Linked DNA regions of Anolis sagrei. The protein of the gene in region 4 interacts with the protein of the main gene of each other region in a biochemical or structural test. Links are inferred from orthologs where the notes say so. Each region holds a gene or a part of one and is shown on either strand. Other genes may lie near its edges.

The links.
Region 1: the proteins of CDKN1A (region 4) and PARP1 form a complex in vitro, tested with the Homo sapiens proteins (2 studies listed by BioGRID). The link is inferred for Anolis sagrei from reciprocal best matches to the Homo sapiens genes CDKN1A and PARP1.
Region 2: the proteins of CDKN1A (region 4) and PSMA3 form a complex in vitro, tested with the Homo sapiens proteins (4 studies listed by BioGRID). The link is inferred for Anolis sagrei from reciprocal best matches to the Homo sapiens genes CDKN1A and PSMA3.
Region 3: of the proteins of CDKN1A (region 4) and AKT1, one has a biochemical effect on the other in vitro, tested with the Homo sapiens proteins (2 studies listed by BioGRID, with this or other methods). The link is inferred for Anolis sagrei from reciprocal best matches to the Homo sapiens genes CDKN1A and AKT1.

The regions. Positions count from the first base shown.
Region 1 is NC_090021.1:39,857,613-39,864,705, reverse strand, and holds the start of PARP1 (poly [ADP-ribose] polymerase 1), read left to right. Parts: upstream 1-4,090; 5' UTR 4,091-4,178; coding exon 4,179-4,298; intron 4,299-7,093. UniProt on the Homo sapiens protein: Poly-ADP-ribosyltransferase that mediates poly-ADP-ribosylation of proteins and plays a key role in DNA repair.
Region 2 is NC_090021.1:334,685,886-334,693,444, forward strand, and holds the start of PSMA3 (proteasome subunit alpha type-3), read right to left. Parts: upstream 3,017-7,559; 5' UTR 2,909-3,016; coding exon 2,888-2,908; intron 1-2,887. UniProt on the Homo sapiens protein: Component of the 20S core proteasome complex involved in the proteolytic degradation of most intracellular proteins. This complex plays numerous essential roles within the cell by associating with different regulatory particles.
Region 3 is NC_090021.1:328,325,103-328,332,214, forward strand, and holds the start of AKT1 (RAC-alpha serine/threonine-protein kinase), read left to right. Parts: upstream 1-4,085; 5' UTR 4,086-4,456; intron 4,457-7,112. UniProt on the Homo sapiens protein: AKT1 is one of 3 closely related serine/threonine-protein kinases (AKT1, AKT2 and AKT3) called the AKT kinase, and which regulate many processes including metabolism, proliferation, cell survival, growth and angiogenesis.
Region 4 is NC_090024.1:187,209,902-187,216,879, forward strand, and holds the start of CDKN1A (cyclin-dependent kinase inhibitor 1), read right to left. Parts: upstream 3,009-6,978; 5' UTR 3,000-3,008; coding exon 2,798-2,999; intron 1-2,797. UniProt on the Homo sapiens protein: Plays an important role in controlling cell cycle progression and DNA damage-induced G2 arrest. Involved in p53/TP53 mediated inhibition of cellular proliferation in response to DNA damage.

The DNA.
Region 1 (7,093 bases), on a different chromosome or scaffold from region 4:
ATGTTAATTTTAATATTTATACATTATTTTATATATTTTATATATTATTTTCTTATCTGTGCTTCCTTACCTGCCTCCCGGCCCATCCCAAGAGCACCTGCCTGCCTCCCTGGCCTCCACAATGCCTCCGGAGCCATGCAGGCAGCACAGGCCAGGGAGGCAGACCTTCCCCGCCACACTTTCGGGGTCTGTGGAGGCCAGGGAGGCAGGCCTTCCCTGCCATGCCTCAAGCCGCTTTTGGGGTCCCTGGCGTCCACTGGATGTAAATATTTAATATTTAATATTTTTATTAATATTTTCAAAAACCTACGAAACAGCGGGTCTGCTAAAAGTGAACCGCAAAGTAGCGAGGGAACACTGTATACATAATAGGGGTTCAACAGGAACAAACAGTGGGAAATCTTGCGGAAGCACAACAGTGACCCTGGGCAAGTCACATTCTCTTGGCGCCAGAACAATTTGCAATAGGTTTGCCCTAAGAAGTTTGTAAATCAGAAATGACTTAAAGATACACAACAGATGCTGCAATACGGTATTTTATCTTGAGTCAGCCAGAAGGCCCTGAAAAAAAATCCTTAATAGCCTGACTCAGGGGTTTCACATATATTTGAGGGAGCTTTGTTCTGCAAAGCAGTGTACACCTAATGGTAATACTACAAGTAGTATAACCTTAGACATGTTGTCTCAGAAGTTAGTACCATTGTGGCTCCATCTACACTGCCATATAATGATTTATGTAATACAGGTCAGTACAGCGAAACTGCACTATGAGTTTACTGATTAAGGGTACATTTAACTCCAAAAGACACATTCATCAAAAAGGAATTTTCACTCTGCAGCCCTTGGATCCAGATCCTCAAAAGCAAATTCCTTGCATTTTGAAGTGCTTCGATATTTTTTTTAATCGAGATGGTATTCAAACTGATTTACAGACGATTTTCACATTCCATAGATTCTGAATTCATGGATTCAATTACTCACAGTTAATTACTCACAGTTAATTACAGTAATTTTTGTAAGATATAATTTTATTAGGTTTGCTGGGGTGCATTTCTACTGTACAATAACAACAACAACAACAACAACAATAATGGGTTGCTGTGAGTTTTCCAGGCTATATGGCCATGTTCCAGAAGCATTCTCTCCTGACATTTCGCCCACATCTGTGGCAGGTATCCTCAGAGGGTATAAGGTCTGTTTGAAGCTAGGCAAGTGAGGTTTATATATCTGTGGAATGTCTGTTTGAGGCAAATGTGAATGTTGCAATTGGCCAGCTTGATTAGCATTGAATAGTCTTGCAGCTTCAAAGTTCTTTCTCCCACTGGACATTCCTCCAAGGGGAACTGAACCACCTAAATTGAGCTCTACAGGCCAATGGATACTCCACCACAGACATCAGAAGAGCTGCAAAACCAAGAACAAGCCACAAGAGTAAAGACAAAGATCCACCCAGAGGAAAAGTGTTCTTGCTATACATCAAGGGAACCATCGACCGCATAGGGAAGCTGAGGAGGAAACACAACATACAAATAATCTACAGACCCACTAAGAAGATCTAACACATGCTGCGTTAAGCAAAGGACAAGAGGGATCCTCTCACTTATTTATTTATTTATTTGCTATACTTGTATTTGCTATACTTCTCAGCCTAGCCGGCGACTCAACGCGGTTTACAACTTATAACAAACAACAGTATACAGTTTAAAAGCATAAAAACACGATCCACAATACATATATCAATAAACAATCCAATTCATCTCTTGACTAAAATCGCGATCCAGTTTCGTAGTCCAAATTGCCAGTCCTTCAATCATTACACTTATTGCACTGAGTTAACCGAACGCCTGCTCGAACATCCAGGTTTTTAGTCTTTTCCGGAAAACCATCAATGAGGGGGCTGATCTTACCTCCATGGGGAGGGCGTTCCACTTCTGCAGGAGTCTACCGTATACCATGCAGCTGTGGACAAGTCTACATAGGGACCACCAAACGCAGCGCCCAAACACGAATCAAGGAACATGAAAGGCACTGCAGACTACTTCAACCAGAGAAGTCAGCCATAGCAGAGCACCTGATGAACCAACCTGGACACAGCATATTATTTGAGAACACAGAAATGCTGGACCACTCTCACAACTACCATATCAGACTGCACAGAGAAATAATTGAAATCCATGAGCATGTGGACAATTTCAACAGAAAGGGGGGGGAAAGAAAATGAACAAAATCCCACGCCAAAGTTCCCTGTTGGCCGTCACCACCCCCAGCTACTTCAGAGTCAAGCCAAGCACTTCAAGGATACCATCCATCCATTTTGCCCTTGGTCGGCCCTCTTCATTTTCCCCAGCATAATTGTCTTCTCTAAGCTTTCCTTTCTTCTCATGATGTGGCCAAAGTACTTCATCTTGGCCTCTAATATCCTTCCCTCCAATGAGCAGTTGGACTTTGTTTCCTGAAGTATGGACTGACTGGATCTTCTGGCAGTCCAAGGCACTCTCAGAACTTTCCTCCAGCACCACAGTTCAAAAGCATCTATCTTCCTTCGCTCAGCCTTCCCTATGGTCCACATCCATAGGTGACTATGGGGAATACCATTGCTTTAACTATGCAGATCTTCGTTGCCAGTGTGAAGTCTCTACACTATTTTATCAAGATTGGTCCCAAGAAGTAAGCGTCTCCTGATTTCCTGACTGCAGTCTGCGTCTGCAGTAATCTTTGCACCTAGAAATACAAAGTCTGTCACTGCCTCCATGTTTTTTCCCTCTATTTCCCAGTTGTCAATCAGTTCAGTTGCCATAATCTTGTTTTATATATATATATATATATATATATATATATATATATATATATATATAACTGCAACCCAACGTGAAGGCAGTGACAGACGTTGTATTTCTACGTGCAATCAGGAGATGCTTATTTCTTGGGAGGAGAGCAATGTCCAATCTTGATAAAATAGTGAAGAGTAGAGACATCACACTGGCAAAGAAGATTCACACAGTCAAAGCAATGGTATTCCCCATAGTCACCTACGGATGTGAGAGCTGGACCATAGGGAAGACTGAGTGAAGGAAGATTGATGCTTTTGAGCTGTGGTGCCGGATGAAAGTTCTGAGAGTGCCTTGGACTGAGAGAAGATCCAACCAGTCCATACTTCGGGAAATAAAGCCTGACTGCTCATTGGAGGGAAGAATAGTAGAGGCCAAGATGAAGTACTTTGGCCACATCATGAGAAGACAGAAAAGCTTAGAGAAGACAATGACGCTGGGGAAAATGGAAGGAAAAAGGAAGAGGGGCCAACCAAGGGCAAGGTGGATGGATAGTATCCTTGAAGTGACTGGATTGACCTTGAAGGAGCTGGGGGTGGTGACGGCCGACAGGGAGCTCTGGTGTGGACTGGACCATGAGATCACGAAGAGTCGGAAACAACTGAACGAATGAACAACAACATAAGGCTCCTTAGCTCCTCCTCGCTTTTGGCCATCACAGCGGTATCATCTGCATACCTAATGTTAATGTTTCTTCCATCAATTTTCACCCCAGCCTTGCATTCGTCAAGCCCCGCACATCGCATGCAAGTTGAATAGGTTGGGTGAAAGTATACAACCCTGCCGCACGCCTTTCCCAATCTTGAACCAGTCTGTTGTTCCATGGTCTATTCTGACTGTTGCTACTTGTTCCTTATACAGATTCCTCAGGAGAGAGACAAGGTGGCTTGTAATGCCCATCCCACCAAGAACTTGCCACAATTTATTATGATGTATGAGTTGCAAATCTACAACTCCCAAAATCGGATGACATTGAGCCAGTGGAGATGGAATGAAATCCTAGTCATTGTACTGGACGATCCTTTGAGCAGGACATGGGAAACTACAACTCCCAGAACGTGCTTCCTTGCAGGACCCTTTCGGCGATCGATTAGGCATGCCGCGTAGGAGGGAGGCTTTTAGAACGTTGCCCGGGAATCAGCTCTGCTGATTCCCGGGCAACGTTCTAAAAGCCTCCCTCCTACGCGGCATGCCTAATCGATCGCCGAAACGGATTGAGAGCAGAGCCAAGCAGGGTTCGATCTCTCTGCGCTCGGCATTGAACTGCGAGAGCCTGGCAAGAGCCTCCAATGCGCCGCGTGCTGCCCCCATTGCTTTTGCTGCTCGCATCCTTCCCTTCCTAGCACAGCCATGGCGGAGCCTGCAGAGAAGCAGTACCGCGTCGAGTACGCCAAGAGCGGCCGGGCTTCGTGCAAGAAATGCGGCGACAACATCGCCAAGGACTCGCTCCGCCTGGCCATCATGGTGCAGGTCAGCCTTTCTTGTTCCTTCTCGCAGCCGGGAGCAGCGCCACGTTGCCTCGCAGCCTCAGGCCCCATTCGCAGGGCAGCCTGGGGTCAGTGCAGACTCCTATGTATCATGCAGCTCTTGCACATGAGCCTAAATTGGGGCATCACTCATGCACGGAACACGCCCCCTCTTTCTATTTATTATGTCGCCTCTGGGAAGGTTTTGCTGCTCTTCACTGCAGGGAGGGAGTGGGTAGATAAGATATCCATCTGGGAGTCATGATTATCATTGCATTTATCTATGTTTCACTTATCTATCTCTCTGGAAAAAAGAGACTCAAAAGATTCTCACAACACGAAAAAACAATGCAAAATTGGAGCTTGTTTCTGAAGCGTTTTTAAAGAAATAATTATAATACTAGCCGTCCCCTGCTATGCGTTGCTGTGGCCCAGTCTGGTGATCTGGAAAATGAAGTAATGAGAAAGTGTTTGTTTCTAAAATATGTAATTTCTTTATGCTTGTGTGTAAACAGTATTTCTTATTGGGTTTTTTTTTTTGTCAGTGTTGATGTGGAGAGTGTCTGGAACATAAAACCTACTCTGGAACATAAAACATATCATTGTCCTTCTTTAGGGGTCCCTTTCAAATCTATGATACTATATCTCTGTGTGTGTGTGTGTGTGAATCTGTATAAATAAAAATGTAATGTTGGTTTGTGGGCTTAACATAACTCGTAAAACACTGGACAAATTGACACAAAATTTGGACACAAGACACCTATCAGGCCAACGAGTGGCCATCACTCATAAAAACACTGAAAAACACAGCAAAAGAAACTTAAAAAGCAAAAAAAAAAAAAAAAACAACCCCACATTACAATGCATGCACAAAACCACACGTGTGCACACACACACACATACATAAACACACATATATATGCACACAAAACACAGATACACTAGGCCACAGCAAAGCATGGCGGGGGGGGGGGCTAGTCATATATATCTATATCTATGACTAGATGGCTCTTTGTCAGGAGGGCTTTGATTATGTTTTCTTGCCCTGATGAAGAGAGTTGGACTGGATAGCCTTAAGTATTTTCTGTTGGTCATGGGGGTTCTGTGTGGGAAGTTTGGCCCAATTCTGTCGTTCGTAGGGTTCAGAATGCTCTTTGATTGTAGGTGGACTATAAATCCCAGTAACTACACCTCCCAAATGTCAAGATCTATTTCCCCAAACTCCATCTGTGTTCATATTTGGGCATATGGAATATTTGTGCCAAGTTTGGTCCAGATCCATCATTGTTTGAGTCCACAGTGCTCTCTGGATGTAGGTGAACTACAACTCCCAAACTCAAGGTCAATGCCCACCAAACGCTGCTAGTATTCTCTGTTGGTCATGAGAGGCCTGTGTGCCAAGTTTGGCTCAATTCCATCGTTCAGAATGCTCTTTGATTGTAGGTGAACTATAAATCCCAGCAACTACAACTCCCAAATGACAAAATTCAATTTTTTAAAATGATGGTCACTCATTGGGTTAGTAGGTGTTATGTGGCCAAATTTGACGGCAATTCGTCCAGTGGTTTTTGAGTTATGTTAATCCACAAACGAACATTACATTTTTATTTATATAGATAAAAGCCCTGCTGAAAAGATGCATTCTTTGGCTATAGAATGCCATGTTCCAAGCACTGTATAAGTGGTTTGATACATTTTGATAGTTTGGATCAGTACAGAGAATAATATTGTAATATAGTAACACTAATATATTGGCATTGTACATGTTTATGTATCCATACTGTACACTGCTCTGAGTCCCCCCTCAGGGTGAGAAGAGTGGTATACAACTGCAGTAAATCAATAAATAAACAATAACTCCCAGGATTCCATAGCATTGAGCCAGACCAGTTAAAGTGGTATTAAACTGCATTAATTCAATGATGTAGATACAACCATAGTCCTGCTTTGCCATATGGTGTGCGCTCGCCTACCTTTTAAAGAAAATGTTTAAGGCTGAACTATATAGTGTTTTTAGGCATGTTCATAGAATCATAGAGTTGGAAGAGACCTCATGGGCCATCCAGTCCAACTCCCTGCCAAGAAGCAGGAAAATCACATTCAAAACACCCCCGACAGATGGACATTCAGTCTTTGTTTAGAAACCTCCAAAGAAGGAGCCTCCACCACACTCTGGAGCAGAGAGTTCAGAAAGCAAATGTTTCATGATCTCAAACACACATGTGGATAATTTTGGGTCATTTTGGAATTCTTGGTAAAGAATGCTCAAGCTATACTTAAATTATTTGCAGAGTCCGTCTGTAGTAGATTTAAAGAGGAGCATATTGTTTTGAATTCTGTAGGAGATACTTGTTTGAACAGGATTGTCTATAGATCCCTCCAGAATTATGCTGTTTTTCTTTCTCTTGGATGTAGCAGTTATAATGGATTCAAAGCACTTAGCAAATACAAGGACTTGCATTGTCCTTACTTTTTCTGGGCAAGACTTCTTGCTATACTTTTGCATGAAAGTTCTTGCAATCTTGATGCCCAGGGAGCCAGGAGTGCTAAACATTTTCATTGTATTTTGTTATTGGGAGAAAGGTCTCCTTGTAATCTAGTCTTCAGAAACATCAAGACAGTAGTCCATTAAAAAAAACCACACACACAGTCAATGCTCCACATTCACTGAAAATGAAGGAAGGGAGCAATTTTTTAAAAATTACCTAAGGGATTACCTCTCTAGAAATCTCTAGGTCTTCTATCCTGACTCCTTTGGAAGCACTGGGAGACTTACAGGTGCCTTGAGAAGTAGTTTCT
Region 2 (7,559 bases), on a different chromosome or scaffold from region 4:
CTTATGAACCATCTAGGACTTTAAGATCGTCTGGGGAGGCCCTGCTCTCAATCCCGCCCTCATCACAAGTATGTTTGGTGGGGACAAGAGACAGGGCCTTCTCTGTGGTGGCCCCTCGGCTATGGAACACCCTCCCTAAGGAGATTAGATCAGCTCCCTCATTCTTAACGTTTCGGAGATAAGTTACGACATGGTTATATGAGCAAGCATTGTCATTCAACAATGGAACTTGGACAACGTTATTTAACTAGGAGACGCCGATGATAATGATGTTGGTTTTGTTGTTTTTATTGCTTCTATTGTGGTTTTATACTGTTTAAATGTTTAATTTGTTGTTATTTGTTGTTATTTGTTATTATTATTATTATATTGAGTATTCGTGCCAAGTTTGGTGCAGATCCATTATTGTTTGAGTCCACAGTGCCCTCTGGATGTAGGTGAACTACAACTCTAAAACTTAAGGTCAATGCCCACGAAACCCTTCCAGCATTTTTTGTTTGCCATGAGAGTTCTGTGTGCCAAGTTTGGTTCAATTCCATCATTGGTGAGGTCCAGAATGCTCTTTGATTGTAGGTGAACTATAAATCCCAGCAACTACAATTCCTAAATGACAAAATCGTAATTTTTGAGTGATGGTCACTCCTTGTGTTGTGAGACGTTTTATTGCCAAATTTGGTGTGATTACCCCACCAGTGGTTGCATTTGGGCATATTCTAGTCCCAATACAATGTATAGCATTGTATTGTTTTGTTTATTGTTTTTCTGTTTTATTGATGTGCTGTTGGGCTTGGCCTCATGTAAGCCGCACCAAGTCCCTTGGGGAGATGGTGGTGGGGTATAAATAATAATAATAATAATAATAATAATAATAATAATAATAATTGAGTATTCGTGCCAAGTTAGGTCCAGATCCATTATTGTTTGAGTTCACAATGCTCTCTGGATGTAGTCGAACTACAATTCCAAAACTCAACGTCAATACCCACCAAACCCTTCCAGCATTTTCTGTTGGCCATGGGAGTTCTGTGTGCCAAGTTTGGTTCAATTCCATCATTGGTGAGGTTCAGAATGCTCTTTGATTGTAGGTGAACTATACATCCCAGCAACTCCAATCCCCAAAAATAACTCCTCTCTCCCAATCGCACCAGAATTCTAATTTGGGCGTAACGAGTATTTGTGCCAAATTTAGTCCAGGGAATGAAAATACATCCTGCATATCAGATATTTACATCACGTTTCATAACAATAGCAAAATGACAGTTTATGGCTCAAACCCAGAACCTCAACCAATGGCTGATACCAAATGAGAGACTCCCCCCTGGGCACACAGAAGACTGGGCGACTTGGAAGGCGCTGAACAGACTGCGCTCTGGCACCACGAGATGCAGAGCCAACCTTCAGAAATGGGGCCAAAAAAAGTGGAATCCTCGACATGCGAGTGTGGAGAAGAGCAAACCACTGACCACCTGCTGCAATGCAACCTGAGCCCTGCCACATGCACAATGAAGGACCTTCTTGCAGCAACACCGGAGGCACTCCAAGTGGCCAGATACTGGTCAAAGGACATTTAACCAACTACCAAACTCACAAGTTTTGTATTTTGTCTGTTTGTTTGCTTTGTTCTGTTACAAATGTAATATAATTGACTGGTTGCTCTGACACGACAAATCAAGTTTATTTATTTATTTATTTGGGGTGCTTCTACCACACCTTTCTCAACCCCCTAGGGGGGACTCAGGGCGGCTTACAAAAGGCACAATTCGATGGCCGACAATTCACAAAATACAATATACAAAATTCCAAGATAATGTCAACAATTATAACTAATTAAAACAATCAAAATAATACAGTCACAGCCAGGCCCATAGCTAGGATTTCGTTTCGGGGGGGGGTGTGATTTTTTTTCAGGGGGTTTTCGGGGGGGCTGAGTAAACTCTGAGGTCGAAGGCCTGGTCCCACATCCAGGTGTTTAACTTCCTTCTGAAGGAGAGGAGTGCATTCCACAGGCGAGGGGCCACCACCGAGAAGGCCCTGTCCCTCATCCCCACCTGTCTCACTTGTGATAAAGGTGGGGCCGAGAGCACCCAGAAGATCTTAAACTCTGAGGTCGAAGGCCTGGTCCCACATCCAGGTGTTTAACTTCCTTCTGAAGGAGAGGAGTGCATTCCACAGGCAAGGGGCCACCACCGAGAAGGCCCTGTCCCTCGTCCCCACCTGTCTCACTTGTGATAAAGGTGGGGCCAAGAGCAGGGCCTCCCCAGAAGATCTTAAACTCTGAGGTCGATGGCCTGGTCCCACATCCAGGTGTTTAACTTCCTTCTGAAGGAGAGGAGTGCATTCCACAGGCGAGGGGCCACCACCGAGAAGGCCCTGTCCCTCGTCCCCACCAGTCTCACTTGTGATAAAGGTGGGGCCGAGAGCAGGGCCTCCCCAGAAGATCTTAAATTCCGAGGTGGGACGTAGCAACTAAAATAGTTTTATGGTTGGGAGTCACCACAACATGAGGAACGGGTCACGGCATTAGGAAGGTTGAGCAACACTGTTATATAGGAAAATAGATGGTGTAATGCTTTAAACATTGGACTATGGATGTGTCTATACCAGTCATAGGCTGTTAGGAATTGTGGGAGTTGAAGTCCAAAACACCTGGAGGGCCCAAGTTGGGCCAGGCTTGGTCTAGAAGCTCCTACTTGATTCCTTCGCTTTCGCTTTCCCTTCAAGTGAGTCAGCGGCCTACAACTGGCTAGGCCTCTCTCTACGAGTCGCGCGGATATGACGTCACCGCACTGTGTGAGGCCGAGACCCTCGAAGTGAGGAGAGATTAACCACCACCGCCTTTGTTTTCCTTTTCGGGGGAGCCCTCTCCCTTCTCCTCTACCTGACTTACCCCGGTGCCGATGGAACTCATGGCGGAAGAGGCCTGAGAGCAAACAGCCGGCCCTCCTGATTCTTCTTTGCCGCCGCCTCACTCACACTGCTCAGTCACTGCTCAGCAACGCGCCCAACCATTGGACAACCGCCTCTGGAGCTTCGACCAATCTCCTCTCGCCGTTAGCAGAAGGGGCGGGGCCAAGAATGCGCCCAGTCACGGCAGCCGCAGTTGGCGCGCGGCAGCAGAGGAAAAGAATGCGCATGCGTAGAAATCCACAATCGATAATCTGCGAATACGCATGCGCGAAGAATTCCACAAGGAAGGTTCTGTGAGGGGTCTTTGTCAGCGCCCGGCTAGCTCAGTCGGTAGAGCATGGGACTCTTAATCCCAGGGTCGTGGGTTCGAGCCCCACGTTGGGCGGGTCAGTTTTTGTTTACATCAAAATCTACAAATAAAACCTATTATTTCTCCTATTATGGTAAACTGAATAGCTGGAATCTTCTTTTAAAAGCTCAATTCACCTCTTTGGGACTTCATCAACAATAACTGTGTCACAGCTGTACAAGAAATTGACTGAAAAAAAAATTCCTTATATTTTTCTTTTATATTTCCATCAGAATCACAATATGCCAAATCTAGTGAGAGCAACAAATGTTGCAACATATATTATATATACTATGAATGTTTCAACTGACCACTTTAATTAGCATTTGATGGTTTGGCAGTGCCTGGGGGAATCTTTTTTTGAGAGGTGATTACATGTGCCTACATAGGGACCACCAAACTGCAGACTACTTCAACCAGAGAAGTCAGCCATAGCAGAGCACCTGATGAACCAGCCTGGACACAGCATATTATTTGAGAACACAGAAATGCTGGACCACACCAACAACCACCATGTCAGACTACACAGAGAAGCCATTGAAATCCACAAGAAGCATGTGGACAATTTCAACAGAAAAGAGGAAACCATGAAAATGAACAAAATCTGGCTACCAATATTTAAAAAACTCTAAAATTACAACAGCACAACAACAGAGAGGAAACAAACAAGGACATCTAATCACCTCTCAAAAAAGTTTGCTCTAGGCACTGTCAGAGAGAGGAGATTCCATCTGAACAGCAGGAAGAGCTTCCTGACTGTGAGAGCCGTTCAGCAGTGGAACTCTCTGCCCCGGAGTGTGGTGGAGGCTCCTTCTTTGGAAGCTTTTAAACAGAGGCTGGATGGCCATCTGTCAGGGGTGATTTGAATGCAATATTCCTGCTTCTTGGCAGAATGGGGTTGGACTGGATGGCCCATGAGGTCTCTTCCAACTCTTTGATGTGCCTGATTGTTTCCCCTCTGTTGTTTTGCTGTTTACAGAGAGTAAACAATCAGGCACATCTAATCACCTCTCAACAAAAGATTCCCCCAGGCACTGCCAAACCATCAAATGCTAATCAAGGTGGTCAGCTGAAACATTCACACCTAGCTCCAGCAGACAAGAGTCCTTTGTCTCACCCTGGTCATCCCACAGATATATAAACCCTTTTTCCTACTTCCAACAGACCTCACTACCTCTGAGGATGCTTGCCATAGATGCAGGCAAAACATCAGGAGAGAATGCCTCTAGACCATAGCCATATAGCCCGAAAAAACCTACAACAACCCTGTAAATTCAATTACTTTTACATTCAGGTGAGAATGTACATATGCAGATGAACAGAAAATTATCTTCAGATCCCTCCAGCTGTACAAGAAATTGACTGAAAAAATATTTCCTTATATTTTTCTTTCTTATTTCCATCAGAATCACAATATTCCAAATCTAGTGAGAACAACAAATGTTGCAACATATATTATATATTATATATATTATAACTGTTGCACTCCAGGTCAGGAAAAAGCCCTCTGACTTTAAAACACACCACACGAAGAGTGAAGAAACAAATATGTTATTCAAGCTTAGTAAATAGCCAGAAGTAATAAATGCTTGTAAGAAAATAAGAATGTTCCAAAAAGTGGTAAGTCCATAAAAGGTAGTAACACAAAGCAATGTCCACACCAGATATAAAAGCAATCCAAGACAGCATTAATCCAGACAGGAATCAACAGGATGCAAAGACAATCCAAAAGGCTAAAAGACTCCAGAGAAACAGGACCCCTTGAACAGGATTTCCATTTATTTATTTATTTATTTTATTTGCTGCATTTGTTGACCGCCGTTCTCAGCCCCTTAGGGCGACTCACGGCGGTGTACAACATATAAAAAACAGTTTACAATAAAGCACGACAAAAAATCAACATATCACTAATACACACTAATATAATTATACTAAGGTAATCCGCTCCGTCTTATCGTAGAATCATAACCAAACTCGTAATCCATATTCCGTTCCAGTTGTCATTACCAGTTGATGTACACTTAATTGAATGCCTTCTCAAATAGCCATGTCTTTAGGCTCTTACGAAAAGACATAAGGGAGGGCGCCTGCCTGATGTCAACAGGGAGGGCGTTCCACAGCCGGGGGGCCACCACCGAGAAGGCCCTCTCTCTCGTCCCCGCCAGACGTGCCTGTGAAGCAGGCGGGATCGAGAGAAGGGCCTCCCCAGACGATCTCAAGGCCCTCGTGGGCTCATAGGCCGAGATGCGGTCTGAAAGGTATTTTGGGCCGGAACCGTTTAGGGCTTTGTAGGATAACACCAGCACCTTAAATTGGGTCCGGTAGCATATCGGCAGCCAGTGGAGCTGGAACAACAAGGGCGTTGTATGCTCCCTGCGTCCCGCTCCTGGCACATGAACTTGATTTCCAAACGATGCCTGATCTAATAGGTTTCCCCTTGAGGCAAACCTTATACCCCAAAACTCAGAAATTGGTTTCGCTTTCTCCCACATTTACCCCTTATCAGGCAAAGTTTTTCAGAGCAACGAAAACACTGAAGTTTGCTGTCGATCCTGGCTAATCACCTGCAGCCTATTCTTCAGCTCCCTTTCTGGCTGCTCATTAAAATTCTCAGGTGTCAGATTGTTTTCCAAACCCAAATCTTGAGAGCTCATAGAGGGAGGGAGGGAATTATCATTGCTAGGCCCATATTCTCATGAGAAACTGCAGTGAAGTGACAGCTTCCCTGGTGGCCAGAAGCTGGAATGTTAAATAGCCTCTGAGTGTCGGCCTATATATGTTGTGTGTCTATGCCATTGTGTTGTGGCTCACTTTGAGCCTGAGCTTTCTGAGCCTGAGTTTCCTCAGGACAAGGAGGAGGATGGGTTACAGATTTCTGTCCCTGTTGTTGAGACAGACAGTGTTGATTCTGAAGAAGAGACGGCATTTCTGTTTCCCAGAGAAGGGTATGTTGTTTTAGATCATGATTTAAGTGAATCTTCACATCTGCCGGTGGAGTCGGCCGCTCCATCTGGGAGCTCAGTGCCTCTTGGTTCCCAGGATAACCAGTCTCAGGATAATGAGTTATCTGGCCTTGAAGGTGATGGAGATTTGATTAGGGAGGACTGTTTGCAATTAAGGATATGTCAAAGTGCTCAGCTTGCCAACAAACGGGAAGTTTGAGGTCAACGTAATGCTTTCATGCTAGGGAAACATATTTAACGATCTGATTGAAGTCAATCCTTTGCCAGTGCAATGTTGCTTAAACCCCGTTAACCTCTCTGGAATTAACTCGGCTTTTGGGGAAAGCTTTTAGCTCTTTGGGACTTAGCTTTTGATCTTGGTTTTTGGGGACCTTGTCATGCTGCCATGGATTCTTGTTTAACCAATGCTAATGGATTATACTTCATGTTATTTGCCTTTGGATATTGGAAACTTTGCCTTTGCATTTAAGACTCTGTTTTGGCTATTCTTCAGCTCCCTTTCTGGCTGCTCATTAAAATTCTCAGGTGTCAGATTGTTTTCCAAACCCAAATCTTGAGAGCTCATAGAGGGAGGGAGGGAATTATCATTGCTAGGCCCATATTCTCATGAGAAACTGCAGTGAAGTGACAGCTTCCCTGGTGGCCAGAAGCTGGAATGTTAAATAGCCTCTGAGTGTCGGCCTATATATGTTGTGTGTCTATGCCATTGTGTTGTGGCAACCTTATTCAGAAACCTTATTCTTATGTTTCTGATTTTGCTTTTTCTTCAATAAACTACGAAACCTACAGCCTTGGAGTGTGGTGTTGTTCTGAGCAAGGTGAATCTATCCTGAGCTGCGACACATTGGATATTTGTCATGTATATGTACATTGTAATCCGCCCTGAGTCCCCTGCGGGGTGAGAAGGGCGGAATATAAATACTGCAAATAAATAAATAAATAAATAAATAAATAAATAAATAAATGTAATGTAATGTTCATTTGTGGGATTAACATAGCTCAAAAACCACTGGACGAATTGACACCAAATTTGGACACAAGACACCTATCAGGCCAACAAGTGACCATCACTCACAAAAACACTGAAAAACACAGCAGAAGGGACTTAAAAAGCCAAAAAAGCAAAAAGATGCTACAACACATGCACAAAATGACTCCCCCAGCAAACAAAACACACAATAGCAACAGCATATCCACACTCTGTTCTGGACTACATCTCCCAGCATCCCCTAGACCAGGCCCTTTAGGAGAGGAGGATGCTTCAAATGCACTGCTTCCAAGCAGCAAGCTTTCTTCTCCTTGGATTTATTTGAGAGCATCCCAATCCCTGCATATTTCCA
Region 3 (7,112 bases), on a different chromosome or scaffold from region 4:
TGTATTGTTTTTAAGTGTTTTTTGCACTACAAATAAGATATGTGCAGTGTGCATAGGAATTCATTCAAGTTTTTTTCAAATTATAATCCGGTCCTCCAATAGTTTGAGGGATTGTGACCTGGCCCTCTGTTTAAAAGGTTTGAGGACCCCTGTTCTAGACCAATGCTTCTTAAACTGTGGGTCCTGATCCCAACTAAATGGGGTGATGAAAAATGTGGCAACAGTAAAAGGTTTCTGAATGCCACCTAGTGGCTGTTTTAGACATTTACACAGATTGGTTGTGCAGAGTTTGCAGTGGACTCTGCGGAAGATGCTTCAACCAAAGTAAGTAAAAAAACAAATAAATAAAAGTATCACAATAAAAACAATTTATTTATTTATTTATTTACTTTGCTTCTATACCGCTGTTCTCAGCCCGAAGGCGACTCACAACGGTTCACAAGACACAGGACACAGCAGAATTCAAACACCAATATAAACAATTAATACCCTAATCTAATACACAATACACGATTACTATGATAACCATTCACTAGCGTCTCGTCACTAAAAACATGATCCAAATGTGTTATCCATTGTTCCATTCCTATGTCATTACCAGTCTTGCACTAATTATTCGAACGCCTGCACAAATAACCAGGTCTTTACTTTTTTGCGGAAGACCATTAGAGATGGTGCTAATCTAATATCTGTGGGAAGGGCGCTCCACAGCCGGGGGGCCACCACCGAGAAGGCTCTGTCTCTCGTCCCCGCCAGCCGTGCTTGTGAAGCTGGCGGGATCGAGAGCAGGGCCTCCCTGGAAGATCTCAAAGTCCTGGTGGGTTCATAGGCCGAGATGCGGTCGGAAAGGTAGCTTGGGCCGGAACCGTTTAGGGCTTTAAAGGTCAACACCAGCACTTTGAATTGAGCCCGGTAGCAAGTCGGCAGCCAGTGGAGTTGGCGCAATAATAATAACAGATAAAAGTATAATAAAATAAAAATATAATAAATATAAAAATAATAGTGTCACAATTAAAATAATTTTTAAAATCGTTGTTGTTGTTTATTCGTTCAGTCACCTCTGACTCTTTGTGACCTCATGGACCAGCCCACGCCAGAGCTCCCTGATGGCTGTGGCCACCCCCAGCTCCTTCAAGGTCAAGCCAGTCACATAAAATAATATAATGTAATAAAAATAATTGCATTGTGTCATGTTTGCTATCTGCAGCTTTGAGTCCGTAAATTGGGAGCAAGGCTGGACAATATCAAAGTATGTAAGTCAATCAATGAAAACAAGCATAATAATAAAAATAAGAAGGATAATAATAAAAAATAAAAAGTATAAAATAAAGATTAAAAATGAAAGTATCCTAAGACTAACTATAAGAATATTTTTAAATTAAAAAATCAAACAGATACTCAGTATAAAACATTATAATAAAACTAAATGCATTTGTATAAAAATAAGAAAAATGAAAAAGTATAAATAAAAAAACAAAATATAAAATATAACAAAACCAAAAGTATTTTATCAATAGAAAAAATGAAATTTAATGTACTGGAATAAAAATGAAAGCAGTATAAAGATAAAAATAAAGATATAATAAAACAAAGGTATTTCAATTATAAAACCAAAAACAACATGAAGATCAAAATGAAAGCATTCTAATATAATAATAATAATAATAATAATAATAGTAATAATACCTTTATTTGTAGACTGCCCTCTCTCCCTGAAGGGATTCAGGGAGGTTTCCACCATATATGGCAAACACTGAATGCCAATAAAAAGACATAAAAACAAATTACATCAAAACAGGATACATCAAACAATATAAGACAGCGTAACTATAAACTTAATACTAAATAAAAATTGACCAAAAATAAAACTTAAATAACTTAAAACTTAAATAAGTATCATCATAAAAATAAGAGTATTATTAAATGAAAGACAAAAACAAAAGATAATAAATAAAATATTATCATAAAAATAAAATTATTCCAATAAAAATAAGAACAATGAAAATAAAAAGATTATAAAGTTAATAAAATAAAAGTACCCTAATATCCCAATATAAAAGTATCCTAATATAGAAGTATCATAAAAGAAAAAAGAAAAGAAAAACTAAACATAATAAACAAAAATTATAATAAGCATAAAAGTATTCCAATAACAATAAGAAGAACAAAGAAAATATTATAAAATCAAAAATAAAGCTTAAAAAGTACCCTAACATATAAGCATCATAATAAAAATAAAAGCATTACAAAATCTCAGACAGAATAAAAACTAAATATAATAAATAATAAAAAATATTACCATAAAAGCAAAAAATGACTTAACACATTATCCATAAATTACCAATAATTGTGCATTGTAATTGCTTATTGGTAATTTATGGATAATGTGTTAAGTCAATTGTTATATGTTGTATGGAATCACTGCTGTTTCTACTGTTTTTACTGTTTGTGAACCGCCGTGAGTCGCCTTCGGGCTTGAGATACAGCGGTATATAAGCAAAGTAAATAAATAAATAAATAAATAAAAGTGTTACAAATAACAACAGGAAGAACAATGAAAACAAAAGTATTCAGAAGTAAAGATAAAAGTATCCTAACAGAAAAGTATTTCGTTGTTGTTGTTTATTCACCCAGTCGCTTCCAACTCTTCGTGACCTCACGGACCGGCCCACGCCAGAGCTCCCTGTCGGCTGTCACCACCCCCAGCTCCTTCAGAGTCAAGCCAGTCCCTTCAAGGATACCATTATTTGTATATTTATTAACTTTATTTGTATACCGCTCTTCTCAGCCCTTAGGCGATTCAGAGCGGTTTACAACAATTTAGGTATTTGTTGTTGTTCATTCGTTCAGTCGCCTCCGACTCTTCGTGACCTCATGGACCAGCCCACGCCAGAGCTCCCTGTCGGCCGTCACCACCCCCAGCTCCTTCAGAGTCAAGTCAGTCACTTCAAGGATGCCATTCATCCATCTTGCCCTTGGTCGGCCCCTCTTCCTTTTGCCTTCCACTTTCCCCAGCATAATTGTCTTCTCTAGGCTTTGCTGTCTCCTCATGATGTGGCACAATACAAAATCATTAAGCATTTAAAAGCAATAGCATCACAAATCATTAAACATCAATATCAATACATCACTACATCAATATAACAAATCCATCAGGTCTCCTCAATGAAATCAGAATCCAAACTCGTTATCCGATATTCCGTGTTCCGATAGTCAGTCAATCAATCACAGTGCTTAGTTGAATGCCTGTTCAAACAGCCAGGTCTTTACTTTCCTCTGGAATGCCAGCAAGGAGGGGGTCGATCTAATATCTGCAGGAAGGGCGTTCCACAGCCGAGGGGCCACCACTGAGAAGGCCCTGTCTCTCGTCCCCGCCAGGCGTGCTTGTGAAGCCGGCGGGGACGTTTTGCTGTTGTAATTTTTGCGTTTTTTTTTTAAATACTCAATCAAAGGATTGTAATTTTTTAAAAAAAAAGATGGGGAAAAAAGAGGAGGAAAAAAAATGAAAGTATGGTAATAAAAAAATTAGCATCCTAATATAAAGGTATTTAGAAAATAATAAAATAAAATAAACCTAAATATAAAATATTCTTAAAAGTGTTTTTTAAAAAGTGAAAATAAGAAAAACGAAAGGATTGTAATAAAAAAAAGTTGGGGAAAAAAGAAAAATAAGAAAAAACAAAGGTATTGTAATAAAAAATAGTATCCTAATATCAAAGTATTGAAAAAAATCATAAAATACAAAACTAAATCTAACATATTCTTAAATGAGGGTGTTTTTTTTAAAAAATGTGAAAATAAGCAAAATGAAAGGATTGTAATTTTAAAAAGATGGGAAAAAGAGAAAAATAAGAAAAATAAGTATTGTAATAAAAAATTAGTATCCTAATATAAAAGTATTTAGAAAATAATAAAATAAAAAAACTAAATATAAAATATTCTTCAAAGCGGTTTGTTTTTGTTTTTTTTTAAGTGAAAATAAGAAAAATGAAAGGATTGTAATTAAAAAACAAAAAAGGATGGGAATAAGAGGAGGAAAGAACAGGCGGGCGTTAGGACCGCGCGGACGCCGTCGGGGGGCGGGTGGAAGAGGGAGACACGCAGACACACTCACCCAGGGCGCGAGTGAGTCAAAGGAGGGAAGCGGGAGGAACTGGGATCCGCCGCAGGAGCCAAGGCGGCAGAGGCAACAAGAAGGAGGAGAAGAGCGGCAGCAGCAGCAGCAGAGACCCGCAGCGCGCGCCGCCTGCCTGCTTCCTTTGCTGCCTCCCTCTCTTGGCTGCTCTGCTCTGCTTTCCATGGGCTGATCCCTCGCGCCGGAGCCGCAACTGCAGCAGCAGCAGAAGGAAAGGACGAAGAGGAGGAGGAGGAGGAGGTTGCAGCCCTTCCTTCCTTCCTTCCCTCCTTCCTTCGTTCCTAGGCCTCAGCTCCTCTTCTCCTCCTCCCTCGGCGGCATGTAAGTGGGCCCGGGCCTCCCTCCCTCCCTCCCTCGGGGTGATTCCTTTGGCTCCCTCCCTTCCTATTTTGGTGTCCCTTTGGTGCATTCATTGTCCAGGAGGAGGGCTGGATGCAAAGCTTCGGGGGAAAGGCCTAGATGCTTGGAGATGGGTGTGTACACACACACACACACACACAGACACAGAGGCATGCTTTTCTATATATATATATGCATGCACCTTTAGACACAAACATGCATGCACATGCATACACACAAGGCATCTCTCTCTCTCTCTCTCTGTGTATATACTCTCACAAAAACAATGCACAAGCATGCATAGATCTGTACACACATGCATGCACGTATACACAATGCATATATATCTCTGTAAATATATATACTCACACAAACACACAATGCACAAGCATGCATAAATCTATACACATGCATACACACAATGCATCTCTATATATATACTCACAAACACCATGCATGCACATACATCTCTCTCTGTATATATATATATATACTCACACAAACACACAATGCACAAGCATGCATAGATCTATACACGTGCATGCACATACATACACACAATGCATTTCTCTGTATGTATATATATATATACACACTCAAACACAATGCACAAGCATGCATAGATCTATACACACATGCATGCACATACATATACACAATGCATATCTCTCTCTCTGTAAATAATATATACTCACACACAATGCACAAACATGCATAAATCTGTACACGTGCATGCACATACATACATACACACAATGCATCTCTATATATATACTCACAAACACCATGCACATGCATGCACATACATCTCTCTGTATATATATATATACTCACACAAACACACAATGCACAAGCATGCATAGATCTATACACAGATGCATGCACATACATATACACAATGCATCTCTCTCTCTCTGTAAATAATATATACTCACACACAATGCACAAGCATGCATAAATCTGTACACATGCATGCACATACATACATACACACAATGCATCTCTATATATATACTCACAAACACCATGCACATGCATGCACATACATCTCTCTGTATATATATATACTCACACAAACACACAATGCACAAGCATGCATAGATCTATACACAGATGCATGCACATACATACAATGCATCTCTCTCTGTATATATATACTCACACAAACACAATGCACAAGCATTCATAGATCTATACACACATGCATGCACATATACACAATGCATCTCTCTCTGATATATATATATATATACTCACACAAACACAATGCACAAGCATGCATAGATCTATACACACATGCAAGCACATACATACAATGCATCTCTCTCTGATATATATATACTCACACAAAAACAGAATGCACAAGCATGCATAGATCTATACACTCGGGCATGCACATAGATACAATGCATCTCTCTATATATATATACTCACAAACACAGTGCACACCCATTGTATGCACATGTCTTTAGGCATAAGCTATATACACATGCATGCATGCGCATAGATACAAACAATAGACACATACACAATGCATATATACTCAGAAAACAAAACACACACAATGCACGCACATTGTATGCATATGCCTTGAAATACAAGCTATATGTGCATGCATGCACATAGATACAAATAATGCGCACATACACTACACATGCATTGTATGCACATGCCTTTGGATACAAACGTGCATAAATCTATACACACAATGCATATATACTCAGAATGCAAACACACAATGCACATGCATTGTATTCACATTACTCACATGCCTTTGGACACAAACATGCATACATCTATACATATAATGCATATATATAGACTCATAATGCACACACATTGTATGCACATGCCTTTAGACACAAACATACATGGATATATACACACATGCATACATGCACATAGATACACACAATGCATATATTATATATACTCACACAAACACAATGCACATGCATTGTATTCACATACATTTAGACACATACATGCATACATCTACAGTATATATATATAATGTATATCTCTCTTACACACAATGCACACACATTTTATGCACACGACTTTAGACACAAACATGCATGGATCTATACACACATGCATGCACATAAACACAATGCATATATCAACATACATATTCTCACACAATGCACACACATTGTATGTACATGCCTTTAGACACAAACATACATAGAACTATACACACATGCATACATCCACATAGATACACACAATGCATATATATATATACTCACACAAACACAATGCACATGCATTGTATTCACATACTTTTAGACACAAACATGCATACATCTACAGTATACATATAATGCATATCTCTCTCACACACAATGCACACACATTTTATGCACACGACTTTAGACACAAACATTCATGGATCTATACACACATGCATGCACATAAACAATGCATATATATATATATTCACACAAACACAATGCACATGCATTGTATGTGCATGTCTTTAGACACAAACATGCATAGATCTATACATACAATGCGCGTGCGCACACACACATATATATCTCACACATGCATTGTATACACATGCATTATTTCTTTATTTATATACCACTTTTCTCCCATGGGCATACAGTAGTTGGAAGCAACAAACATTACA
Region 4 (6,978 bases):
ATGATGTTAATATTATATATAGCTATAATTGTTTATTTATTATGTCAATATTAATATTATGTTGCTGTTCATTCATTCAGTCGTTTCTGACTCTTTGTGACCTCATGGACCAGCCCACTCCAGAGCTCCCTGTTGGCTGTCACCACCCCCAGCTCCTTCAAGGTCAATCCATTAATATTATAGTTATATTATAATTGTGTACTGTATTATTACTATGTAGATATTATATTATAATGATGTATTAGATCGTTAATAGTATTAGTTATGTTATAATTGTGTACTGTATTAATATTAGGTCGTTATTAATATTATGTTATAATGGTGTATTGTATTAATATGCCAATATTAATATTATAGTTATATTATAATTGTGTGCTGTATTAATATTATGTTGATATTAGTTATTTTATCATTGTGTATTGTATTAATATTATGTCGTTATTAATATTATATTATAATGGTGTGGTGTATTATGTCGAATTAATATTATAGTTATATTATAATTGTGTGCTGTATTATGTCGATATTATTTTATAACTGTGTATTGTATTATTACTATGTCAATATTAATATTATAGTTATATTATATGATAATTGTGTATTGTATTAATATTAGGTCGATATTAACATTATAGTTATATTATAATTATATATCAATCCATATACAGAGAAGATATATAATTAAATACATATTCAAGTCGTGGATACCGAATCCACGGATACGCCGGGGGAGGGCGAGTGCATTTCATCAGAAGGAAATGACAATGGTAGCAAGGGAGCCTTAGCAGTGCCAAACGAGCAGCGAGTTCTGTGCAGTGCTTCTTGCCCTAATAAGAAAAGAAAAAAAAATACTTGGGTCGAGTGTGTGCGCGCGGCGGCAGCAGCAGCAGCAACAACAAGATCCCAAGTCAAGTCGGGAACACGGAGTTCCCAAGCAAAGCGCGAGAGAACATCGCGGGTCTGGCGGGGAGTCAAGAGAACTCGTGCGCCTTTCGAGTCCCACCCAGCAGCACAGCAGCACAGCAGCAGCAGCAGCACTTCCCTCCCTCCTGCTTTTTCCTGCCTTCGTCAAGCCAAGGCGAGGGGATGCTTCTGCTTCTGGCTTATGCATCCTCCTCCTCCTCCTCCTCCTCCCCTTCCATTCCCTGAGCCCAACCCTGGGCCCAGACTCTGATCTCAGCCCCAGGAAAGCGACCGTCACCCTGAGTCACAGGCGGCGGCAGCAGAGGCAACACTCTCCCCTCCCTGGAGTCCAAAGGCAGGACATGCCCTGGCAAGCTCCCCTTCCCGGAGACTCCACAGCGCCCCGTGTGGCCAGGCAGGGGAACAGCCCCGGCGGCGACAGCAGCTCTTCAGACCACATAGAGCAGGCATGGGCAAACTTCGGCCCTCCAGGTGTTTTGGACTCTGGAGTCCAAAACACCTGGAGGGCCGAAGTTTGCCCATGCCTGCTCTATATGCTCTATAGATGAGTACCTACCGCGTCTCTCTCGCCCCCCCCCCCAACCCTGAACAAATGAGACAGCCCAATTCCTGAGCGCGCATTCCAAGTCTCTTCGAACAAAGCGGCCGCTACCATTGGGGTCAAGGGGGGGGGGGGGAGGCTGAGAAGAAGGTGAGGTCAGCTTCCTTCTCCTGCGATGGGCATGACCGCCATACGCGGGTTTGGCCGCTGGATTGAAGCAACCTTTTGGGGGGATCTGGCTCGGTTTCAAGGCGACAGGTTGGTCAAAGGTGTCGAGGGGGAAAATACGGAGGGAAAAGGCGCCCTGGAAAGGGAGGACAGGTGGAAAGGGAAGCCAAACATCGCCTAATGAAGGACCAAGGACCAGTCCTCTCCTCCGACATAAAAGGGAATTGGAGGAGCAGTCCACACAGGGGGAAAGGGACAAGATGCTTCGTCCCAAGGGGAGAATATATTTATTTATTTGCCATATTTATATTCTGCCTTTCTCAGCCCGAAGGCGACTCAAGGCGGCTTACAGTCGGCAATCAATGCCCCAGACATAAATATAAGTAAAAACGTTAACATGTAATATAAGAAACAATAAAAACAATATTGTATATATTTCTCCATGATATCCTTTGTATTTCCTCCCTTTGATGGGGTTAATATTTCTCTCTGTGTATGTATATGTGTGTGTATATATATATACATACATACACACAGAGAGAAAATATATATTTCGCCTTGACATCCTTTCTTTTTCCTTCCTTTGATGGGGATAATATTTCTGTGTGTGTACACACACTATCTATCTATACACACACACACACAGAGAGAGAGAGAAATTAGCCCCGTCAAAGAGAGGAAATAGAAAGGATGTCAAGGCGAAAGTGATAACTCACAGCCTCTGAGGATGCTTGCCATAGATGCAGGCGAAACGTCAGGAGGGAATGCTTCTGGAATATGGCCATACAGCCCGGAAAACACACAGCAACCCAAAAGTGATACTACTTATAATGGCATTTGGGGGGGGGGGGGTTAGGGAGAGCCGAGGAGGGTACATCAATAAACATAGAAGTAATACATACATATACATACATACATAGTATTTCCTAGTTTCCAAAAAACCTCACAACCTCTGCCATAGATGCAGGCGAAACGTCAGGAGAAAATGCTTCTAGAAAGCCAGTGATTCAGGCCATGAAAGCCTTCAACAATATGTATATAGAGCCCAAACTATATATATAGATCCCACTATAATATACACCCCAAACTGTCCTCTGATAGAGCTTGCAAAGCTACCCAAAGACAGCAAAATATGAAGCCTTCCCAAGCAATAGAGGCGCTCACCTCCCGTAAAGCTTCTTTCTCCTTCTCTTCTCCTTCTCTCCCCTCTTTCGACAGTTCTGAGCTCCAGATTCCACCGCAGGGCTATATATATAGGCGGCGAGGCCCCGCCCCCTCCGCGCGAAGGGGGCGTGGCCTGGCTGCATTTGGCCCCGCCCAGGAATTTCCACAGAACCTCCTCGCTGCGCTTTGTCACGATACACATACTACCTTCCCGAGCCCCGCCCCTCCTCCTCCTCCTTCCCAGGCTCGCGCCCAAGCGCCTGCGGCAATTGCATCTGCAGCGCTGCAGAACGAATGCAGTTTGATTGACGCTGCTGGAGCCCTAGGAGTTGTAGTTTTACAAGGTCTGCTGCTCTCTCTACGAAAAAGTGCCGGTGCTGACCAAGCTACAGCACCTAGTTCTTTGGCAGAGAGGGCTAAAAGGTCTTGTCAAACGGCAACAGTCTTGAACAGGCATGGGCCAACTTGGGCTCTCACTCCAGGTGTTTTGGACTCCAACTCCCAGCATTCCTAACAGCCTCAGGCCCTTTCCTTTCCCCCCTCAGCCGCTTAAGCTGTTAGGAATGCTGGGAGTTGGAGTCCAAAACACCTGGAGTGAGAGCCCAAGTTGGCCCATGCCTGAACTAGATGTATCTTGCTGACCCTTCCAATTCTGTTGCCCCATTTTGTTGTGTCTCTCTGGACTGAATCAAGATCTCTATGCCTCCGAAAACCGTGTGAAAGTCACCCACCACATTCTCAGATTTAGCAAAAGCTGGCTTTGTACCCTTCTCTCCAATTACGCGAGTCGAGTTGGCTTGCCAGGCCTCCTCAGGCTCAGAAACTGGGAAGAGGCTGTGCCTATTAAGCACTCAGGGCTGGCACCTGTCAGAGCAAGGTGTGGAACCTGGAGGCCCTCCGGGATTCTCTTAAAAGAGATCTGAAAGTCTTTGGTAGGATTACTATCTTGTTTCCCATGCATTTTGAAATCCCTGTGTGCCAGTGCCAAGAATCGTTCTTGGCCTATAAGGGGAATCTGTGCATAGCAAGAAATGCCCCTAGAATTGGCACCGGCTCTGTCCAGATTTGCAGCCGTCGCCAGCCGCAATGTACATTCGGCAGCCAAATGCACCAAGGAGGCCAACAACCTAGATCCACATGACACTTTGAATATTTTCTCTGTCAAAGAAAATGCTTTAGATGACAAGAATCCTTCCTTTCACACACATGTAAGTGTAGTGAGTTCAATCAGGACCATTAAAATGTGGAAAAGATCACATCCCTCAAGCTGCACAATGAAGGATCCAGTAGTGTGAAGAGTGGAGTGACAATATGTTGTCGAAGGCTTTCATGACTGGAATCATGAAAAGAATTCATATGGTAACAGAAAGTCCAACACTAATTATCATCATTATTGTGTTGTCGAAGGCTTTCATGGTCGGAATCACTGGGTTGCTGTGAGTTTTCCGGGCTGTATGGCTATGTTCCAGAAGCATTCTCTCCTGATGTTTCGCCCACATCTATGGTAGGCATCCTCAGAAGTTGTGAGGTCTGTTGGAAACTATGCAAGTGAGTTTTGTATATCTGTGGAATGTCTAGGGTGGGAGAAAGAACTCTTCCCTGTTTGAGGGAAGTGTTCAGCCAGGAAGCAGTCAGGCTTTGAAGCTGCAAGGCCACTCAATGATAATCAAGGTGGCCAATTGCAACATTCACACTTGCCTCCAGCAGACCAGAGTTCTTTCTCCGACCCTGAACATGGCACAAATATATAACCCCCACTTGCCTAGTTTCCAACAGACCCCTCAACCTCTGCCATAGATGTGGGTGAAACGTCAGGAGAGAATGCTTCTGGAACATAGCCATGCAGGCTGGAAAACTCATAGCAGCCCGGTGGAGTGACAAATAGACATTTATTGATCAAAGTTTTGCTCACGGCAGCCAGGTCCGGGAGATCCACACCCCCCCCCCCCCCCCGCTCCAAATTCTCATGGTGGTCCGCGAGAAAGCCTTACTGGTACATTATTTAAACTGTTATGTTTATTCATATCATTATCTGATCACCATGCTCAGTATATCCCATATGCATGGGGGTATTGGGATAATGATACAAAAGGTTTGCTATGATAGATCCTGACCCCCCCCCCCCCCCCCCGGCGAATCAAAATCCTGGCTATGGACCTGACTGCAGCAATATGCTGGGAGACAGACTACACATGTTGAGCATCTGTATTTCATACAGTAGGACCCTTCCCTTATTTTGAAAGCCCATTCATTGCAAACTATATTTGTCCCTCTCTCCCCATCAAAATATGTGAGCACTGTAATATCAGAGAATCAGAATCTATCTCAGTGGTTCTCAACCTGTGGGTCCCCAAGTGTTTTGGCCTACAACTCCCAGAAATTCCAGCCAGTTTACAAGCTGTTAGGATTTCTGGGAGTTGAAGGCCAAAACATCTGGGGACCCACAGGTCGAGAACCACTGATCTAGCTACAAAAGTCTGTTTAATTGTCCAAAAAGAAATGGATGTTGTAGCAGTTTTCTTCAAACTTTCTGACCAGCTATTTCCCCCCTAATAGTCCAAAGACTGATATCACATTTGACTACAACAGATTCTTCTTTCGTGGAAAGTTACTGTGGAAAGTTACCAATTCATAGATCACCACTTTTGAGTTGCACTGATGTACACAGTTTTCATGCTGTTTCACAACCTAACTAGACATAGTAATAATATAATAATAATTGTAAAAAAAACCCAAACAAACCTTTATTTATATCCCACCACCATTTCCCCGAAGGGGCTCGAGACAACTCACAAAAGCACTCAACAGTGCAAACATACAACTACAGCAAGTGCATAAAAATAGTACGATAACTATAACAAATAGTACGCCATAAAACCCTACTAGTTAAAAATCAATAAAATGCAACAATGACTGCAGATATAAAAATATATAAAATAAACTGTGATTAATATCAGCCCCATAAAGTGCTAAGGTGAAACAATAGCTGAGTCCTCAGGTATAATCATTAAATAATTCCTAAACAAGGCCTCTTTGAAGAACTAAGTGTTCCAATTTGTTCGGAAAACTTGGAGAGTAGGAGCTAATCTAATCTAATCTTTTTTGGGAGGGCATTCCAAAGCCAGGGGGCCACCCCTGAGAAGGCCCTCACTCTCATCCCCACCAACCCTGCTTGAGACCGAGAGGAGGGCCTCCCCGGCAGATCTCTGAGCCCGCACTGGTACATAGAAGGAGATGTAAATACAAAGATCTTGACAATCCCAGAATCTCATAGTGGTCATGGAGGAAAAACCTCTGGGAGTTATAGGTTTGAGAAGATAATTTTCTCCCTCTGCTACAAAACTTCAGTGGAACCACTAAGGTTGGTGTCACCCAATGTGGTAACTCACAATGTCACCCTGCTGGACTTCCTTCTGTGCCAGGCCAGACCACAGTATTGCAGCTAAAACATTAGAGCCAGTCCACTCCCCCTTTGATAAAACCCACCCAGCTTTCTGCTCACAGTAAGCTTTTCTATGGAAAGTTCTTCCAATCCATCAGTTTAGCCTTGGTGGCCTTTTGTCAACACTTTGATAGGAGAGGAAGGAGTGGAGACCAGGTTCTTCCCACCTCCTCTACCATTCAAGCAGGACAACAAGAAACTACCAGCTTCTCCATCTGTGTCTCTTATCCAAGACTCTCAAAAGGGAATGGAAGAGTTTTCATATTGTGAATCAGGAGATTCATTAAGTCAGACTTGGCCATGATAGTCCATGCTCTTGTTACATCTAGAATAGACTACTGCAATGCACTCTACATGGGGTTGCCTTTGAAGACTGTTTGGAAGCTTCAGATGGTCCAATGGGTGGCTTCCAGGTTGCTCACCATAGCGGCGTACAGGTCACCATAGTGGCGTACAACTCCCCTGTTGCATCAGCTTCACTGGCTGCCAGTTTGCTACCAAGCACAATTCAAAGTGCTGGCTTTAGCCTATAAAGCCCTATATGGTTCCGGCCCAGCTTACCTGTCTAAATGTATCTCCCTCTATGATCCACCTTGGAGGCTAAGATCATTCTGGGAGGCCCTGTTCTTGGTTCCACCCCCCATGCATGTGCGACTAGTGGGGACAAGTAACAGGGTCTTCTCAGTGGTGGCCCCTCATCTATGGAACTCCCTCCCGAATGAAATTAGATTGGCCCTCT